2 linked regions of the Neodiprion lecontei genome follow. The protein of the gene in region 1 purifies or fractionates together with the protein of each later gene. This does not show direct contact. Links are inferred from orthologs where the notes say so. Each region holds a gene or a part of one and is shown in the gene's direction. Other genes may lie near its edges.

Region 1 (6,746 bases):
ACTTTTTTAAAAAACTTACTCGACGGAAGCACTGAAGCACTCAAAGTTGAGTGCAGCTCTGTAGCCTGCCTTTTGAAAAAGAGGGCAATAGTAGATGAACTGCAGTTTGCACTGAAATTCGCAAATTATTATAGAAAACTCTCACCATATCAATCACGCGCCAACAATGCCACAGTACAGTCAGAATAGAACTGGAGTAGGATCAGTGACACGTTTCGTCGTTCCAAACGATCGGCATCGCGTAAAATTTTATCGATACAGTGGACGGATGAACTTTGTCAAAACAGCATAAAATGTTCGGAGTAAAAATTCTTGATAGTATCAGGAAAAGTTTCGAGATATAGGCCAAGCATTTGCGAATGTTTGACAAAGTACTATAAATGTCAAGTACCGAGTAACAATGTAGATTCGCTCCGATTGCGAATGAAAACCGAAAATTTATGAATGAAGTGTAATACAGCTGGGTGGGTCGATAGAGCCCCCCTACGTCGTAGTAATCAATACAGGGGGTTGGGTAGGCGTCGAGGGTACAGGGATGGCAAAGTCCATTCAGTAGAAGCTGTAGGCTTGCTATTGATTACGTGGGTGGAAAAAACAGACTCCCTTCTCCGCAGCACCGCGCCTTCGCCTCCCTTCCGCCGACCCCAGGCCGTGGTGGAGGTAGCGTCAGGTCAAGTGGTGGGGATCGTAGTGCATCTGAGTGGGGGTGTTCAGGGGAGGAAAAACATCCCCTCGCCAAGAACTCCAAAAACCAGAGGGAGCCGTTGACGTTGTCGGCATTGGAGGAGCCGGAGGACCCTGCACCCACTCTAGGCCCCACGGGGGCGAAGTAGCTGGGTCGTCTAGGGCGGAGAGGGTGCCGCGGCGTTATCTTCGAATCACGACAAAGGTGCCTTGAGCGAGGTTTCATTCAATTTTGGCCAGTCATTACATTTCCCCGAACGTTCCGTTTCTTGTGCCACCCACGGATTAGCTCGGCGCTATTAAATATTAATGAGATGTAAGAAAACTCCGGCCAATTCATCCATTCACGCTCCTTGGGATCGTTTCTTCAACCCGTCTTCTGCTCCCACCCTGCGGTTCTTACCCGCCTTTTGCAGCTCATTTCTTTTGCCGCCAACCATCAGGAACTCTTCAATGAACGGCGAACAATGAATATCGGGAAAGCTTGTTACAGACAGAAGACGGACGAGACTGATAACTTGTCGCTAACTGTCCGATGCTTTATAATTAGCCTCGAGTACGAAGACCCCTCGTTTCCTTTTTTGCTTAATCAGAAATCATTGTTCCAGCCTCCCATTATTCTTCTTGATTCGATCGTGCAGTTAGGTAACTCTTTTAGAACATTCAGGCAGAATCTGAATTCAAGTCCGATGATGAGAAGTGAAACCTATTGTTGAGATTCTCACCCACAACTGCTGGAGCTGGACGATGCATAGAGGTTAAAGCACATCTCGCCTCAACCGCCTCAACGAATTAACAAGTCGCTGATTTACTAAACTTTTGATCGGCATGGCGTGTTCGCTTGCAAGCGTAAGGATAATTTTGTAGCAAATTAATAAATTTCAACATCGGTGCAAGGAAATGCTCGTATCAGATTTTTGCTCCCGGCAATTCTATAAAGTCCAAGTTCTTGATACGTACAAATATTGTTTCTTTTACCGATAAAACAGTCTCCTGATGTTGTATCGAATGAGACTACAGACGCCATCTATTGGCTGATGCCTGAAGCGGGCAGGCAGCGTCATCATCTTTTGACTGGAACCAGTGTCTGCCATTTCCGTAATCCATGGTCCTTGTGCCGCTGCTGCTGATAGTGCAAATATGGCGGCCACACAAAGCATTTGTAACAACAGTGCGTATTAATATCACAGTCAACAAATAACGGGGTTAGAACAGTCAGAGTTTGGAAGTGGAATGAAGTGCTGACGACAAATCACCTCGGTACAGACTGTTAATAAACGATTAATTTCCCTTAATTATATAACGCGATTCCCCGAATCGAGGATAAAATCGTCGTCGCCCTGCTAGTGCTGCGTATTATATCTATGTATTCATATATTTCAATAAAAAGTAATTGATGTTCGTTCCTAGTACTGTGCAGTCGTGATTTCGTTTCGCGATTCGGTCGTTAGGTATGACCTTCGCATCTTTTCGCCCCAGCAATAAACTGGCATTTGGAAATTCGACGAGGCGGTGAAACTGCGGACCGAGTTGAGTTACTCTGCTTATCGCACGCGAAGTATTTCTCCCGTTTTGTTCGCCCGTCGCTTTCGCGGCCGTCCATCATGACGATTTTGGCGAAAAAGAAACCCAACGGTACGAAGGACAGACGCGAGCCTGGCAACGGAGCCGAGGTTGATGTACACGGGGTTCAAGTCGAGCATGGAGCTGGTCCGATCGCCTTGCAGTCCAACAGTTCTTATCAGGTAATTAGAGAGACAATTTATGGTTAGAAACATCGCATTCGTTCCCAACCACGTTCGAAGGTTGAGAGAGAAGGAATAGAAAAATTTCACGTCCAGCAGTGGTCACTCATGGTAATCCATTACGTGTGACAATTGGTCTGAAATTAGAAATAAATGCTAATCAGTGTCGAAGGAAATTTTTGCATATAGATTTGACATCTACATTATTTGTTAATTGCGGATTGTGTAATTCCTGAAGTATTCATTTTCACAATATTGTAATGATTTGCCAATAAGCGACCTCTGAACAACACTTCTTTTGTTCCTCACGACATCTATATTTACCATTTGGATGAATGGTTTATCTATTATCTATCCTATGTATCTAGAGTTCAGATAATTGTTTTACTGGTAAACTGGTTTGTACCGATTGATAGATCATCAGCAAACATGCTTGCCTAGGAGAAGGAATCCTCTTTATCGTTGGCTGAAACACTGCGATGAAATCTAAGCTCTGCTTTCTACAGTCTGTTGCTAACATTTCCTATCTATTTCAACTAACGATACTTGTTAATCTTTAATTTTTCAATTCACTGAATTTCACATTTACGATTTTGCTAATCAAAGTTGTTCGTATCACCGATCTCTTATTACAGACTAGTGTTGATCGCCGGGAAGAAAAGCACTTTGAGGAGGCTAGTGGATCAAGCCATGGGAAACGTCATCGCCAACGTGCGAGTCCTCACAGGTATCTAATTTTCTCACCTTGTTATAAAGATAAACTAGCTCGATTGTTTCTCACCTTCCAAATCATCTTTATAATTGCTTGGTCATACTACAACAGCTGCATTGGCAGAACGTCCCGGTCTAAACGTGAAAGAGAACGAGACAGGGGTCGAGAGAGAGAAAGAGAGCGGGAAAGGCAAGCGACTCCACCAACGGCATCATGCAGTGGGCTGCAAGGTGAGAATTGCTCAATGAACTTGTAATGAAATTGTTCAATTGTGATTTTTTTGTTACAACGGTATTATTCATATACCTGAATTTATCATTTGCATACATCCGTAATCCTAGAAATAAAGAAGGAATCACCTTGCCACTAATTATTCTTCAAATTCTAACACTCTAATATTTGCCATTTTTTTAGGTACAGATGCTAATGTTATTGGAAACAACCGTATGGCAATAGTAGCTGGTGCTCCGAGCCTTGAGCCAGAATTAGCAAATGGCTATAACAGTGGGGATGAGTACACAGGTCGCACTGGAAACAATTTGACCATTGCGGAATGGCAAGAGGTTAGTGTTAGCTGCCATTAAAAGAGTAAAAAATAATTACTTGCTACTTCTATTTACAATGAATTTTCAGCGTGACCGATGGTTTGAAAAACGGATGCGGAAGATGGGGTTCGTGGTTAAAAAAATGGGTGAAGACGGAGCATGTCTTTTTAGAGCTGTCGCCGACCAGGTTTACGGTGATCAAGAGATGCACAGTGTCGTACGAAAGCATTGCATGGATTATATTGTGAGTAATTCACAATGATTTCGAGCTTTGTCATACAAAGAACTCGATATCAATAATGTTTACTATAGTGAAGGACCATTTTATTTCAGGCTGCCAATCAGGAATTTTTTTCCCACTTTGTTGCCGAGGATTTCTCTACTTACGTGGACAGAAAACGACAAGAATACGTCCACGGTAATCATATAGAGATGCAGGCAATGTCAGAGATGTACAATCGTAGCGTTGAGCTATTTTGCTACGGAACAGGTAAGCGATTCGATGATGTTGACAAAAGGCTATTTGGTAGAAGATATGTCTTCCATACTATACAAAATCACATGAAAATACTGTTGAATATAATTGACAAAGACGTTTTTCCTTTCGCTTCAATGAAACACAAAAGAACCGATCAACATTTTTCACGGGGTACACAAAAGCGACAACGAACCGATTCGGTTGTCGTATCAACGCGGCAGTCACTACAACAGCATCGTAAACCCCTATAAAGCAACAATCGGCGTCGGACTAGGTTTGCCCTCGTACAATCCCGGAGCGGCGGATCGTGCTCTCGTTTCTGATGCGGTTCGACAGAGCGAAGAACTGCATATTGAACAGGTTAGAAATTCTACGTTCGTTATTTTATTTATCGATCATTATTTCGGGAAAGTATGACTAATCCATCCTTATTTCTCGGTGACACAGACCATGCTTGAAGACAAGATAAAAGCCACCGATTGGGAGGCTACCAATGAAGCAATCGAAGAACAAGTCGCGAGAGAGAGTTACTTGCAGTGGTTACGTGACAATGAAATGCGTAAAGCTGTAAGTATAATGCCGTCAGGTAACCATCATTGCATCTCATTGATTAACGGTGATCTACCTCTACCGAATGTCGAATCAATTTAATTTACTTACCATCAAGCAACGCAGTAACAAATATTTCACATGCATCTATCCGTTTGTTTCTTTTGTTTATTGTTTTTATACTCGAGTGCTCTCCGCTTACCTGACACAGCTCACACTGTCATCAGTTACTCTCAGCTTAGTAGCTTGACTTTTTGTTTAAGCGGTCAGCTAGCAGCAGCAGCACCAGCACAGTCACCAGTGCCCAGCATAGCCACAACCACTTCCACCCTCATGGTGGTCGTGGACAAACGCGTGGGCTAACATCCTCCCCAACAACGACGCAAGCTAATCAGGATTCTGTCCGAAATTCCCCCAAGGTGAGCTAGTGTGACTAACTTTTAGCAGGAGAGCAAGTCTTTACTAACCCAGAAAACGAGATAATTAGCCATCTTTGCTCTGCAGGAATGAAATATGAAAGATTTCTTACAAAACTTTTCCCCTCAGGTTGGTGACTCGATAAGGTACAGCAGCAAGCGTTCTCCGCAGCATCAATCCACCCAGGGACCAGGTATGCCTCACCTGTCGTCCGATTTTAGCGTCGCACCACCATCTCAAGAACCCGTCCCAGGGAGCAGCAAGGAGTCTCACACATCGCCTGACATATCGCTGTTTAATCGTCTCCCTCCTGAAGTTTTTGGTGAGAAAATTCTAGTGTTCGTAACCGAGTTTATAGAAGTTAAAAGACCGGATGAACAGAGCACGAGACTGTACCGATTGATTTTCCACAGGTTTGACCGACTGGGAAGACAGTGATATCCTATCCAAAGTCCTTGCGACTTCGCAGCAAGAATATCTGGACAGCTTAAAGCAGTCGCGGGTACAGTCGGGTTCGGGTAGTGATGGGAACGTCGTAGCTGACTCGAACAAGAGTTAATTTGACTAAAAAAATCGGCTGTTTTTCAAATTGAATATGAATGATAATCAGGCACATCAAGAAAGTTGAAGAGAGCGAGGGAGAGAGAGAGAGCGAAAGAAAAAAAGAGTCGCGTTAGTTTCCTGCGTGATGCCAATTACTACGACCACCTGTTTTATACACCTCCGGGATAAAAAATATGATTTTACAGGCATTCCGGTTTCGACACGTTGTGCCGTGTGAATGCACTCTCTCGTCACATCTTAATTGTTTGCCTTTAGATTATATTATTATAGTATAAAACAAGGCACATAGCCTAAATCACAGGCTGGATAGAACTTCGCTATTTATTTCTTTAAATATTCGTAATAGTTTATTTCATCTTTTTTTTCGTTATATAATATAATTATTAGCGAAATGCTTTGAATGAGAGATTTGGTTGCATCATTTGTAACAAAAAAAATAAATCACTTGAGAAAAAACATTTTCCAACACTGTAAATTTAACAAAGAATTTTTTGTAAAACTGTTCCGAAATTATTGTTAATTCCCCACGCATGATTACCTACTAAAATATTAGACACGCAATTGACGAACTGTACTAGAGCGTATAATTGAATAAATTATACGGACCTACGAGTACACAGTTGTTTACGCTTCAATATACGCTACATTATAGACACTTTATTTCTACATTAATGTTTCACATACAGCATTGAACAACAATGTGTTTGCACGCTTACACCTTTTCAACGTACGGCGGAATTTCGTTGTAGGTACGTCACCCGACAACTTGTCCTTAGGATGGCTCAACTACTACTATTTATTTTACTCCGAGCACAAATATAACCTCGTTTGGTAGAGAGAATACGGCTGTGTCTCGCGCAGCGACGAGTTCCCTCTCCCACAACAAAGTTCCACTGTACCTACGTATTATTATTATTGGATTACCGATCACTGTAATGTGAATCGATCAGTACCTCTTTTTTTCCTTTTGTCGCTCCATATTTTTTTCCCATATACGTGCGAAGTCGAATAACGATAATCGATGAAGGGTAAATAACTTTTATAAAGCCGTG
Region 2 (5,414 bases), on another chromosome or scaffold:
TCCCCTGCTTTCAATATTGCCAACGTAACCATTGATATTGAACTATTTGATAGCCATGTCGATACTTCTGTAGTAACAGTTTCTAACAACTTATCAATTACTGCGTCCAATAGCTCTTTTGCTCGTATTTCTGGTGGCTTTTTACTAGTTTCATTGGCATCACCTTTTTTAAGTTGTTCGATTACTTTCGGGTGAAAATAATGTGAATCCCTTCTAGCAACAAGATATAGAATTACGCATCTGCCATATTCATTTGACGCAATTTCTGTCAGATCATTCAGCAATTCTGTCAATATCATTTTCTTCACGAGAACTGTGTCGTCAATGCAGTCAAACAAAGCTAATAACACCATATGACCATGCTCGTTTGTCGCCACATTCTTGACTTGATCTTTCAATGCCTTCATCGCAAGTTTTCTGTCTTTCTTTGTACCATGCCACAAACAAATCATTGCAGACTTAGCACCATCCTTTGTCTGAGATAATTCTGCAATCAAACTTCGGACCATAGTGATCATTTCATCTCTATCATCTTTGGTGCAATTCCTTAAGAATTCAAGCAACACAGAATGTACAAGGGAGGTGTTAATCAGCTTCTTATTTAGTATTTTTATCAAATTTCCTTTGACAGCTGAGAGAGTTGCAGATTTCATATCTCCTGCAAGCTTATAGACATCAGCAAGTGTTTTGATTTGACTGTCCTTGGCTAGTTTGTACATATCACCATAAAATTCTTGTTTAAAATATAATTTATCTGCATCGGTCGCCCAAGATGAATATGCAAGTTCAAGTACTGGTGCAGATACTGAATGGCTTGCTAGCCTAACTATATTGCCACTACACGCCGCAATTATCATAGCTCGAATTTCATCTGTCCCATGCTTCAACAATGTTTTGACACAATTCTTGGCATACTTCGACTGTAACATTAGAACAATACTTTTCTGTAATTCATCAGTAACATTTTTTCTTATCTCAGAAGTGCAGTACTTGAGAAGCCATTGAACAATCCTTGCCATGTCATGCATGAAGACAAGTTTACTAAATTGTCCCTTGAGTAATTCGTATAGCTGCGTTGTGAGCTCTACACGCTCTTCTTTAGAACAATCTGCTCTGCGTAATTTTTCACCAATCTTCTTAGCTTTGACGGTAACATCATACGCATTCGTCAGTCTTTTTTCCCTTCGTTTTTCCCGCAGTTCTTTCTTCTGTTTTTTAAACTCTAACCAATCTGGTTTCTCAGTTGTGTCTGTGCTACCATTTATAGATTTGTATTGAACCTGAGTTTGTAGTCTTTTCTTCTTATTATTAATCTTGTCAAACAATTTCTGTGACTTGTCTGCCTTGGCAGGTTTCTTTGCAGCAGTTGGTTTTTGGAATTTACCTTTTTTCTCCAAAGCGTCATTTTTTTGTGAGATGTTCACCTTCTTTAGCTTCGCATCTGAACTTTTTATGATATTCACTTTGGCAGTAGGGTCGACAGCCGTTTTAGCTTTTTTAATTATCGGTTTAAGGCTCACTGCTTCCTTTTCCCGGCGTTTCATGATGACGATTTTTACCTGTAACTTGAAAAGAAAAATTGTACGTAAAATTTATCTAGCGTAACGTATTGTTTCTACCTTTCTGATGCTTCTGCAAGTATTTCAAACATTTCGAACAACGTGCGTGCAAAACATAACCTATTAAAGACGACACCGATTTATGAAAATTGAGTTTAAATTTTGGAAATACTTACTTCTCAGACTGAATTTCGAACAGCGTAAGCAAATCAGTAGTAATTATACTAAAGTCAGTGAATTATCGGATATTTATAAATTAATAAACCGCACCATAGAATCACTAAGCTAAGGTGTAAATTATTGCGCCAATGTACGATCACGTGGCGTGCACTTGGCTTTGCTTGGCTTTCTGAATTCTGGTAATAGGATTCACGAGGTAGCAGTTGCGTTGAGCTGCAGACACATTTCACGGTTAGTTACTTTCTGTCGCAGCGTGGCGCTGCGGCAATAAAATGACGCTAAATACTACCGCAAGGTTTCGCTACCCGTAAAAATGTACCCTACAGCGATGCGTGGCGCATGCAGAAAACTGTTTCCTTGGCAACTTTACGATCAGTCAACAGAGTTGTAAATCATGGCGGTAAGTGGAAATGCGTCGTAGATATTATGCATTTAAATTATTATTTTTCGCATAGAATTCGGCGAAAAGATTGATAAATTTGATATTTTCCTACTAGCTTATTGATTGAAGCTTACTCTGTAAATTCGTCTTTTCAAAAAACCTTCTTCTTCAAAACATAACCGTGTCGACATGCGGCGTTTGGCACGCGTGAACGGTAACCTACAAATTTGCGACGATCAACACAGTCTTCCGTCATTTCAATGTGATTCAATGCTAAATTTTATTGCAATCGTTTACTGCGGCATGTTTTAAAAATTGAAGATCACACTAACTATTCATTTGATCACATTTACCACTGACAATCCGTTGGTTGTTATTTTTTTATACTTAGATTAGACAACATTAAAGGTATCCAAGAACCAAATTCAGTAACAAAAAAAACTTTATTCCAGGCCGTCGCTGCAGCAAAGGTGCAAGAAGTTCGTGAGATCACTAGAATCGAGCGCATTGGCGCTCATTCTCACATTCGAGGTTTGGGACTGGATGACAGTTTAGAGCCGCGCAATGTAAGATTCACAATAATATATTATATTTGCAATGTATCCCAGCCTTGTATCAATAACTCGGAATTCAGCAAATATCATGTACAAATTTCGTTACAACAAAGATGAATTACTCGCAGGTTTCTCAAGGTATGGTGGGCCAGCTCATGGCTCGGAGAGCAGCAGGTGTTGTGCTCGAAATGATCAAGGATGGAAAGATCGCAGGACGAGCAATTTTGTTGGCTGGACAACCGGGCACTGGTAAAACTGCAATTGCGATGGGAATGGCCCAAGCTCTTGGTCTAGATACTCCGTTCACGTCAATGGCAGGCTCGGAGATTTATTCCTTAGAAATGGGTAAAACTGAAGCTTTAACTCAGGCGATACGAAAATCAATTGGAGTGAGAATCAAAGAGGAAACGGAAATTATCGAAGGGGAGGTAGTAGAGATTCAAGTTGACAGACCAGCTACCGGTGTTGGCGCTAAAGTAGGAAAGTTGACATTGAAAACAACCGAGATGGAAACCATTTACGATCTGGGCAATAAAATGATTGATAGCCTGATGAAGGAAAAGGTAAGTAAAGTGAAAACAGTTATAAATTATCGACAAAATTTAAATGAAAAATGTTTCCATTAAAGGTACAAGCTGGAGATGTTATAACGATTGATAAAGCCACTGGAAAAATTAACAGACTTGGCCGTTCGTTCACACGAGCTCGGGACTACGATGCGACGGGATCACAAACCCGTTTTGTTCAATGCCCAGAAGGAGAGCTCCAAAAACGAAAGGAAGTGGTACATACGGTTACTTTGCACGAAGTTGACGTTATTAACAGCAGAACTCACGGATTTTTGGCACTGTTTTCCGGAGATACGGGGGAAATAAAGTCTGAAGTACGGGATCAGATAAATGCTAAGGTTGCAGAATGGCGAGAAGAAGGAAAAGCTGAAATCGTACCTGGTGTTCTCTTCATTGATGAAGTACACATGCTGGATATCGAGTGCTTTTCATTCCTCAATAGAGCCCTTGAGAATGAAATGGCACCTGTCGTTATAATGGCCACTAATAGAGGTAGAGTTTTATATTTATTTAAGATTCAGTTTATTCTTACCCAAAGAAAATGTAATCGATAATTCCACTCCACCAGTGATTCCATTAACGGCATTTAATAATCGACAGGAATCACAAGGATTAGAGGTACGACTTACAAAAGCCCTCACGGTATACCGATTGATCTGTTGGATCGAATGATCATCGTGCCCACAAGTCCATATCAAGAAAAAGATCTTAAAGAAATTCTCAAAATTAGATGCGAGGAGGAGGATTGTGAGATGGCGGACGATGCTTTGACAGTATTGACGAGAATAGCCTTAGAGACGTCGCTTAGATACGCTATTCAGTTGATCACCACTGCGTCGCTTGTTAGTCGAAAGCGCAAAAGCACTGAGGTATGCGAATAAAATTATAAGTGTCGTCTTGTCAATTTGTACATACTTGATGTTCGTTGCAGGTCAATATTGATGATGTGAAACGTGTGTATTCCCTATTTCTTGACGAGAATAGATCTTCACAGTTCTTGAAAGAATACCAAGATGAATTCATGTTCAATGAATTGGGTAAGTTTTCTTACCATTAGATGTACCTACTTTTCGAATAATTCATTAATGGATTCAGACACGAAATATTTGATTCTGAGTGTAAACAACTACTTATTGTCCTTAGACACACACACACACACACACACACACACACACACACACACGCGCGCGCGCGCACACACACACACACACACACAAAATACTTATTATCAGATTGAGCTTCCACATACCTATGCTTGCAAACTGAAAGAAAATTGAAATATGAAATGAGAACCAATTTGATCATTTCCGTGTTTATATTGTATGTGCCGTTATGAAATGACTTTTTCTACTTGCGCAGAAGAACAAGCTATGGAAGTTGCGTAATAACTGACTGGATTCATCGAGTTTCTTTCTAAAGTTTGATGGAGTTGACAAAGTCGCACGTTCGGAGTTGAACAAAAAAATATAGATCTACCAACACAGGTATTGTAATTCCAGTACAATTCGCCGTTTCGCCGCGCTGGTTTTGTGTTATTTACCTTTATATGGCGTGCGAAACTTTGCTATCATCACGTACGAGCATACAAGTATATAAATAATTACACGACGGTTTATTATGAAATAATAAAAAATATAAAAAATATAATCTTGCATTTTTAAATAATCGTAGATTATACGTATATATTATTATCATTATTTTAATATAAAGCACTGGTTATAGTGTCTGTACCAACATTGGGCTGTGCAAATATTCGAGATTTTGTTCTACTTTTCTATATTCGTAATCTATTAGGTACGTACATAGTCTTATCAGTTACAAAAATGAAATGGGTTTAGAGTAGCCAATAGATCTTTGAAATGCGCAACAGAATATTATTACCTAATTTGTTCATTGCAAAACTTATGCGGATAAAATTGTTATTGATTTGAAAAAACCAATGTTTGTACAGAAAAATTAGTTTTTGGTGTAAAGCTTCTATTCCTCTATGATTAGACCCAACCTCGAAGTCAATTCAGGCATAATTGCACCAAAAACAAATGAAAAAAAACAATTTTATTATCATATTATTGATCCAACGCTAGTAAAACTTTTCAAGCTTTGGTTTGCAGTACTGAATCGATCGTTTTTCATTTATTCTATTTCCGTTTGGACAATACTTTTTTAGAAC

What was found.
Region 2: the proteins of OTU domain-containing protein 5-A (region 1) and ruvB-like 2 purify together in Homo sapiens (affinity purification with mass spectrometry, with the first as the bait; 3 studies listed by BioGRID). This does not show direct contact. The link is inferred for Neodiprion lecontei from reciprocal best matches to the Homo sapiens genes OTUD5 and RUVBL2.

The regions. Positions count from the first base shown.
Region 1 is NC_060264.1:33,609,426-33,616,171, forward strand, and holds OTU domain-containing protein 5-A, read left to right. Parts: upstream 1-1,797; 5' UTR 1,798-1,944; intron 1,945-2,094; 5' UTR 2,095-2,288; coding exon 2,289-2,429; intron 2,430-3,064; coding exon 3,065-3,156; intron 3,157-3,252; coding exon 3,253-3,371; intron 3,372-3,555; coding exon 3,556-3,704; intron 3,705-3,774; coding exon 3,775-3,930; intron 3,931-4,019; coding exon 4,020-4,176; intron 4,177-4,312; coding exon 4,313-4,524; intron 4,525-4,611; coding exon 4,612-4,731; intron 4,732-4,976; coding exon 4,977-5,132; intron 5,133-5,259; coding exon 5,260-5,452; intron 5,453-5,543; coding exon 5,544-5,689; 3' UTR 5,690-6,169; downstream 6,170-6,746. UniProt on the Homo sapiens protein: Deubiquitinating enzyme that functions as a negative regulator of the innate immune system. Has peptidase activity towards 'Lys-48'- and 'Lys-63'-linked polyubiquitin chains. Can also cleave 'Lys-11'-linked ubiquitin chains (in vitro).
Region 2 is NC_060263.1:34,675,065-34,680,478, forward strand, and holds ruvB-like 2, read left to right. Parts: upstream 1-2,001; 5' UTR 2,002-2,133; coding exon 2,134-2,139; intron 2,140-2,573; coding exon 2,574-2,687; intron 2,688-2,803; coding exon 2,804-3,238; intron 3,239-3,303; coding exon 3,304-3,736; intron 3,737-3,776; exon of another isoform or gene 3,777-3,844; coding exon 3,845-4,113; intron 4,114-4,175; coding exon 4,176-4,281; intron 4,282-4,603; coding exon 4,604-4,629; 3' UTR 4,630-4,891; downstream 4,892-5,414. Other genes in the region: protein penguin, read right to left, coding at 1-1,544. UniProt on the Homo sapiens protein: Possesses single-stranded DNA-stimulated ATPase and ATP-dependent DNA helicase (5' to 3') activity; hexamerization is thought to be critical for ATP hydrolysis and adjacent subunits in the ring-like structure contribute to the ATPase activity.